Neurospora crassa OR74A: one gene and its partner. The protein of the gene in region 2 interacts with the protein of the main gene of each other region in a pairwise test. Links are inferred from orthologs where the notes say so. Each region holds a gene or a part of one and is shown on either strand. Other genes may lie near its edges.

What was found. The genes of interacting proteins can lie anywhere in the genome.
Region 1: the proteins of NCU04637 (region 2) and NCU08499 interact in binary tests that used the Saccharomyces cerevisiae proteins (3 or more experiments, as listed by UniProt). The link is inferred for Neurospora crassa OR74A from reciprocal best matches to the Saccharomyces cerevisiae genes RVS167 and GYP5.

The regions. Positions count from the first base shown.
Region 1 is NC_026502.1:3,459,290-3,463,266, forward strand, and holds the start of NCU08499 (GTPase-activating protein GYP5), read right to left. Parts: upstream 2,806-3,977; 5' UTR 2,184-2,805; coding exon 1,959-2,183; intron 1,813-1,958; coding exon 1,470-1,812; intron 1,405-1,469; coding exon 1-1,404. UniProt on the Saccharomyces cerevisiae protein: GTPase-activating protein which accelerates the GTP hydrolysis rate of YPT1 and SEC4. Involved in ER to Golgi trafficking and polarized exocytosis.
Region 2 is NC_026505.1:1,375,528-1,379,805, reverse strand, and holds the start of NCU04637 (BAR adaptor protein RVS167), read left to right. Parts: upstream 1-1,466; 5' UTR 1,467-2,182; coding exon 2,183-2,218; intron 2,219-2,376; coding exon 2,377-3,718; intron 3,719-3,795; coding exon 3,796-3,821; 3' UTR 3,822-4,278. Other genes in the region: NCU04636 (cysteine desulfurase), read right to left, coding at 1-515, 588-858. UniProt on the Saccharomyces cerevisiae protein: Component of a cytoskeletal structure that is required for the formation of endocytic vesicles at the plasma membrane level.

The DNA of each region.
Region 1 (3,977 bases), on a different chromosome or scaffold from region 2:
GGAACCACTGCGTGGCGTAGAGGTGAGGGGAGATGCCACGCCGATGGAGGTGGCAGTAGAGAGCGGGCTCGAGGTCCTCGAGTATGCGCTCAAACTGGTAGAGGCACTTGTGCAGACCGGGCATGTCCTGGATAAAGAGCTCGCGAAGGTGGTATTGGTTCATTAGTCGTACCAGCAGGCAGAAGGCCTCCTCCTCGGGCATGTTGAAGAGAAGAGGCATGACGAGGAAGTTCATGCCTTGGGCATAGCCGACGGCTTCGTCAAAGAGAGCATATGCCTTGCACACGCCAAAGAGGCCCTCCTGAAGCCCTTGGGCGGCGGCAAATTTGGAATAGCTCGTTCGAGCGCCCAGATCCCTTCTAATGACCTTTTCGAGCCTCGACAACATTTCCTTATCTTCCTTTTCCTTCTTCTTGCGCTCCGCCGCGGCAAGAGCCTGGGCCTTGGCGAGGGCTTCCGCGTCTTTCTCTGTCGGAGAAGGAGCGCCGGTTCCGTTGGGCCCAGATTTTTCTGAGTGAACTGACGAGGCAGAAGAGGGCGTATCCTTGCCGCTCGGCTTGCCGCCGTTACTCAGTGATATTGAGGCATTGCTCTGCCTGTCAGTTTTCCTCTCCTTGTCTGTGCCCCTCGCAACCAAGTCTCGGTAAACCGTTTCCAGTTCCTCATTCTTGCTTTGTGCCAGAACTTGCCAGATGACTCCACGAATGGCGCTGGGGATACCCTTCGCGATGGCCTCCTTCAACTGCTCAGGGCTTGTCCGAGCAACAGCTGCGGGACCTTCGTACACAACCGTCTGCCACAGATCCCAGTCCACAGGAGTATCGGAGCCCGCTGGGCCAGCAGTGACCCCGGATGCGGTACCGGGTGCGAGAGCCGGGTTGGGAGTTGGTGGAAGCGGCGACGGAGGGGGTTGGACTGCTTCCTTCTCCTCCGGGGTAGAGCTCTTCTCGTCATCGTCTCCCGTGGGCGCGCTGCCCTCCTCTCTTAGGCGCAATTGCTTGAAGCGATCCTTGAGAGTGTTCTTATTGCCCTCCTCGTCAACCTTGCCTAACGTCCCATCGGGGTTGCTGGAGAGAGTAGCAACAGAGCTGGCGGTATTCCGTCTTGGAGCCGTTGCGGCGGCTGGCGGTGGGGGTGGGTTGGCTTGCTCCTTTGATGAACTCCTGGACAGCCAGGAAAAGGGGCTGGTTAGTTTTCTGGTGACGGGAGGCGGTGGTGCCGGAGTAAGGGCTGCGGGCGCAGGCGCAGGAGGAGCGGCGGCGGCAGCGGCGGCAGCGGCCGCGGGTGGGCTTTTTACAGCTTCGTCGGTAGCGGAAGGTGACCACGGCATGGCGGGCAGGGCACTAGCTATACTGCTTATTGACAGCTTCTTGGTTGACGAAGGCGCCGTATCAAGGGATTTTTCTGGGTTCCCTTGTCAGTACAGTCTGGTGGGTTTTGCTTGGCTGTGCGTGCAGCTTCCAACGTACCTGTTTTGTCTCCAATTGTAGAATTATCGTTTAGGCTTACATCGTCCAGCGATGCAGCCGAGAAAGCGGACGCCTCTGAAACCTTGGAAGCATGCGAGATGCGGTGTAGCGACTTGCTTTCCTGCTCCTGTGCCGGGGTCTCGAAGACGTCTTCCTGCTCCTCTTCCTTGATCTCTGCTGTCTTGGGAACTTGGGGTGTCTCTGTGGTGTGGGAGCGGGCGTCGTGGTCGGCGTCGGCGGCGGCAGAATCGTCCATTGATGGGGAGCGCGGGCGGTGAAACGAGGAAGAGCGTTTTGTTAGGGACCTTACGGAACCTGTGTCGATGGCATCTTCAAACGTATCCTGCATGATGGGCAATAATCATGATTGTGGTCGCTGGTCAGCACTCGCTCGTATAGTACAGTACTCTTGTTGCTTTGGGTTGCACTGCCTTGTACCTCCCTAGGGGCAGGTAACATGGTAACTTGAGGAAGGAAAGGGAGACTTACGGTGTCCTTGTCGTCTGGGTCGGACAGGTTGGTGGGAGCGAGAGAGGCTGGTCGCTGGTGGTCGGGCTGGGAGTCCTTGTCCTTTGTCTCTGTTACGGGAGAGGAAGCAGCGTCCTCTTTCTCGTGCTCGTGGGTGACCTCCTGAACCGTCTCCGTGGGCATCTCTTTGGTAGCGACCGCCTCGTGGGGGGCAGCAGCCCCTTCCTGTACTTCGGATGCCGACATTTCGGTTGTTTCTTGGGAGGTGGAAACCCAAGGAATAGGCACAGGCTGCTCCGGCTCTGGACAATATACGAGGCGGCGACACAAGGACAGGCGAGAGCGGGCGACAAGTAAGGTGGTGGTGGTGGGTGCAGTGAGTGGTGTGTGGTACTAGAGGTAGGTAGGTAGGTAGGTAGGTAGGTAGGTAGGCAAGGTAGTGGTTGTTGTTTACGCGGCGGAGCGACTGGCCATTGATAAACGGAAATACAAGCAAGCAAGTGCGTGGAAGTGCTGGCTGGCTGGCTGGCTGGCTGGCTGCTGGATGTTCAATTGGCGGAGAGGGACGGAGGGAGAGAGAGACAAGACACACACCCCTCACTCACACAGCTGCTCGACTACTCCAGTCGCTTTCCACTGGTCGACAATGGGTGATCAATGACGGGGGCAAGTGCTGCAAACAGGGCCGCTTAAAGACAAGACAAGACAAGACAGGAATCACTGGCAGTACTACCTGTTGTTGAGAGTCTGAGTGGTAGGTGCCTAGGTGGTCTGGAGGAACGGGCAGGTCGACTCGCTGCCGCTGCTGCTGCTGCTGCTGCTGCTGTTGTCGTGATACGAATTGTGTGTGTGTGTGTGTCTGTCTGTGATGTGGGAGGGGAGGAGTCTGGGTGCAGAATGATTGATGCTTGTAAGTGCAAAATGTCCATGGTCGGTCAGTGTGTCGTCCCCTGAGAGATTTCGGGGTACACAGTACGCCAAGCCTGCACTAACTGAGGCTCTAAAATGGGCCGATGTCAAGTCGCGGGTACCTAGCAGACTAATCACTCCACCACAATCCACGCACTTTGTTTACCGTACTTTTGTCATTGTTCACCGCACTTGCTCGTGTGCTCAGGGCCACCACGAACTATTACATACGGGATCAGACGGGTACCTACTATCAACATGACAGACAGGGCATACATTACCTAGGTATCTCACTCTACACTAGTATATGGTAGACAGCAGCTGTCAGTGTTGCAGCCCTTGAGGTTCCTGCGTTACACTCACCCGCCGTACAGTAATATACATACGTATCTCTATGTACAGCATAACAAGGAACTCCCACGGCATTGAGATGCAATTAAACCTCCTTCTTTTGTGCTTATTCTCTCCACACACAAAAAGTCGATATTCAGGTCAAAGCAACTGAAGCCACCCGATCAAATGTGAGGCCGCAAACACGTTCACTCCATAAACATTCGCCGGCCATGATTCGATGCACATCCTTCATCGGCTGGTTGGCGGCGTCTATAAAGTGCAAGAGATGGCGCGTCCACAGCGGGACAAAAAGTCTAGAATAGAATGGGGAACATGGGGGGGTTTCCCCAATGGTATGCGCAGCGGTTTTTCTGAAACGGATGAGGGGCATGGATCTGCCGAAATGCGCCAATCATCGGCAAAAATGCATTGGAATGTCTTGAGCTTTTCGCCGTTTTCTTCCACCCTCCTTTCCACTTACATACAATGTTGCAACACCTCCTTCACCACCTTCTCCAGAGTCCAGACACACGGCATAGGTACATGGTTCATCTGATAAACTTCAAATACCAGCCATGTCTGCTTGATCGACAGCGGAAACCCCATCGACCCAACCCAGAGCATTGGAATCCCCACGATACCCGTTTGCCTCAATAAATTCCCAAAACATCATGTCAAAGACGGCATTGCCCATTTCGCCAAAACTCGGCCACGAACAAGGTTCGGGATCCGCCTAAGCCCTCGCTCGCCTTGCCCTCTCCTTTTTGTCGAAAATAGCCAAGAACCGAGATGCCGTTG
Region 2 (4,278 bases):
TTGGATGACACCAATTTCGTTGTTGACAGCCATGATACTGACGATGGCGGTGTCGGGACGGATGGCAGCCTCCAGCTCCGCCATGTCGATCAGGCCGCTGCTCTTCACTGGGAGATAGGTCACTTCGAAACCCTCGTCCTGGAGATGCCTGCAGCTGTCGAGGACACACTTGTGTTCTGTCTGGCTGGTGATGATGTGCTTCTTCTTGCCGGACCGGCCAAAGAACCTAGCGACGCCCTTGATACTCATGTTGTTGCTTTCGGTGGCACCGCTGGTGAAGATGATTTCCTTGGGGTCAGCGCCAATCAGATCAGCAATGTGTTTCCTCGCCTCTTCAACGGCCTTGTCAGTCTCCCAGCCGTAGGCATGTGTCCTCGAGTGGGGGTTGCCATAGACGTTGGTGAAGTAGGGCATCATGGCATCGAGCACTCTGGGGTCGATGGGGGTTGTGGCCTGCATATCCAGGTAGATGGGACGCTGTCCCTCATCCATCACGGTAGCATTGCTGAGAACATCTAGTTGAGTCAGCAACGAGGACGACTGCGCAATATGTCTCCGAAGAGGTGGGAGGTGATGATGATGCTTACCAGCCATGGGGCTGACGTGTTGGCTCGAGCCATTTTGCGCGCTTATAGTGAGGCCCTGCTTCTCCATCTCCCTGTGATCCAGCTTGATAGCATGCTCGGCCTGCACGTCGGCGTTGTTCCTCTTGGTCTCGGTCACATAGCTCCTGGAAGCAGAAGCAGTCTTGACAGCAGCCGCAGTAGTCGCCCGCGACAGCACACGCGCGCTGCGGAGAGGAGCGGCCGCGGCCAAGCGCGATGCCTGTCGCAAGACGGACGGCGCAATGGTGGACATGGTAAAAGGAAGAAGAAAGAAGGAGAGGAAAAGAGAATATGGTGGTGAGGGTGATGGCGGATGAGGGAGAAAAAGTTCGTTTTGTAACCAAACCTACAAAAACGGATGGAGGCAGCGGGCGGGGCGGCTCAAAACACACTCAGAAATTCAGATGGAGCTGCCGCCTCCCGCTCTTCGGCGGTCGGAGTGGAATTTCCGCCATACAGAAAAGAACAAATCGAAACAAACGGCATCCGCACGCGGACTTGGCCTCGGAGGGGTCGGTGATAAAGGAATGTGCCAATGAGGGGCGACAACCAACAAGGTTTGGCACTTTGATTGGTCATTCTGCCATCGGATGGCCCCACCTGTTTCTTTCTCGGACATCGGACAAGCGCGTATGTACGTACGGCGAAAATGACGCTGCTCCAAAATGTTAGAGAATGGGCCGCCGGGCATGACGGAAACTGAACGCTCGATGTGCACCGCGGCGACTGACTTGACAAATACAGTGCGGAATGTCCACTTGTGAAACGGACTCCGCGGACGCATCTGATCCATCATTGCACAGAAAGGAAGAGCACTGACCCGGGGCAGGCATCCATCTGTTCTCTCAATCGGCATGTCCACTGGGATGAAAGCTACACTACAGCGGGCCCCAGACCCAGTCGGTCTACCCCGTCGTTCCAATTCGTTCCTTTCCGGGGTCTCATCGACCAAAAGCAGAACAACCGATGACGGTACCTATTTACCTCCTCGGTAGTATTCTGTTTCCATTCGCATTGGATGTCTGCGTTGGACTATAACTTGAACCATCAGTGACATGCCATATAACCGCCGACAACCTACTTGAATTCCATTTACACTGCTAAACTATTTAGTAGCATCTTACCTCTAGGACAGCTACCTCTAGCTACTTTACCTCCTACCGTTGAAGACCGAATCCTCCCCGAGGAAGTTTGTCGGACCTCGAACGGAACTGCTGACAAGGGTCCGACCGACGGGATTCAAGAACAAACCGAAATCACAAGACGCCTAGACAAAAAGACTTTTCACACTACATCTTGGAACGAGGTCGCTGTGTGCGGCGTGTCCAACATTCAGCAAATAGCAGCGCCACGCAAACCGTCGCAAGCTTCGCTCAGCCAAGACTTCGTCCACCAGCCAAACGACCTGCACCGCCCCCCTGCCCACCCCCAGCGTCATCACCATCGTATCCGGATCCGACTTGAAGAGGGCACTCGACCACCGATTGCCTTCAACCTCTCCGAACAGCAACCCGCTTTGCGCATCTCCATACAAACACCGAATACACATCAGACATCATACGGCTTCGTAGCAGAATATGAGCTTCAGGGGCTTCCAAAAAAGCGTGGTCCGCGTAGGTTCTGCCCCGCATACCTAGTTGATCTCACCTCCCCTAGTTTCGGTTACAGCGTCATCATCACTTCCGCCCTTCCCGTCGAGTCCCCCGTCTGTGGCAGAAATAGCGCCGAATCACTCGGGTTGGCAAACAGGCACTAACACGACAGAAACCAGGCACCACAACAATTCAAGCAAAAGTTTAACCTCGGCGAGCATACCAAAGACCCTGTCTACATCGACTCGGAGCGCAGATTCCAGGAGCTCGAAACCGAGACCAAACGCCTTCACGATGAAAGCAAAAAGTACTTTGAGGCCATCAATGGCATGCTGCAACACCAAATCGAGTTCTCAAAGGCAATGACCGAAATCTACAAGCCCATCAGCGGCCGCATGTCCGATCCCGATTCGCTCGTTCCCCATGGCAACTATGAGGGTATTGCCGCCTGCGAGGAGTACGAGGCCGTTGTCAAGGACCTGCAGGAAACACTGGCGCCAGAGTTGGAAATGATTGAGGCTAGGGTTATTCGGCCAGCGAACGAGCTCCTCGATGTGATCAAGGTCATTCGCAAAACGGCCGTGAAGCGCGAGCACAAGAAGCTGGACTACGACAGACACCGCGCCACCCTCAAGAAGCTCCAGGACAAGAAAGACCGGTCGGCAAAGGACGAGAAGGCCATGTGGAAGGCTGAGAACGAAGTTGAGCAGGCCACGCAAGAGTACAATTACTTCAACGATCTGCTTAAGGACGAGCTACCCAAGCTGTTTGCCCTCGAACGCCAGTTCATTCAGCCGCTTTTCCAGTCCTTCTACTACATGCAGCTCAACATCTTCTACACCTTGCACGAGAAGATGCAGCACTGCGACATTGGCTACTTCGACCTGACCCTGGACATTGAGGAGGCCTTTTACGCGAAGCGAGGTGACGTCCAGGAGCGGGCTGAGGCTCTCTCCATTGTCAAGTTCAAGACCACGGGTATGAAGCGACCGCCCAAGTACCAACGTCCAGGCGCTCTCGAAGGAAACAAGCCAGCAGGCCTACTTACAGCTGGCTCCTCCACGACCACTTCCACCGGTCCGCCTGAGGCGGCTCCCTCAGTCACAGCCCCACGCCCCTGGGAACAGCAACAACAAGCTCCTGCCGTCACAGCACCGCGACCTTGGGAAACCCAGGCGGAAACAGTAGAAGCGCATGCGCCGCCACCGTATTCGGTGAAGCCGAGCACGCTACATGCTACGCCCGCCTCCTACGCCGCTCCAGTTGCCAGCCCGAAACCCTCGTCGTTGTCCATGGCGGCGGCTGCAAAGGCCAAGCCCCCACCGCCGAAGCCCAAGCCCAAGGCCCTCATGGCGGCGGCACCCAAAGTAGAGACCGTCACAGCGCTTTACGACTACTCGGCGCAGGCGGAGGGCGATCTGAGCTTCCGTGCCGGTGATGTGATTGAGATAGTAACAAGGACTGCGAACGAGAATGAGTGGTGGATTGGAAAGTTGCATGGAAAGCAGGGTCAATTCCCAGGTACGTACTGTACTATTTCTTAGGGTGCTTGCTTTGTTGCGAGCTGGATATGTTCTGACACAATGGTCTTTTGCTAGGAAACTATGTCCAGTTAAACAGCTAGAGGATACAAGGCTACTTGTAAATGTAGTTATCAAAGAGTTGCTTTCAGCACACTTCACTTCTCAGCACGACTTCAACCTATACCCCTTTTTTGTGGACCCGTTCATGGTCGAGTTATTCATTTGCAACCACAACACGGATTCTTTCTAGTTCGTCTACATCGTACCAGGCCGTGACGTTCTGTAGCAGGGCCTTGGTGATCCTATACGGATGCAATGATATGCGGCAGGTGACTCTGTTGAGAATAGTCAGGCAGGAGGAAACTCCGTCGCGAAGGAGGACCTGCGAGGAGCGTGGAGCGAGAGGGTCCCGGGTGTTTGCGTCTAGGGAAATGGCGGGTGTATTGTTTTGGAGCGAAGGAAGCAACGGAGTGAAAAGGTCACAGTGCATTGGGTCAAACCTGGAAGTTTTGATTAGATGCGTTTTGCCATGATCGCCGTCGTGGTTTGTTCCCTTTA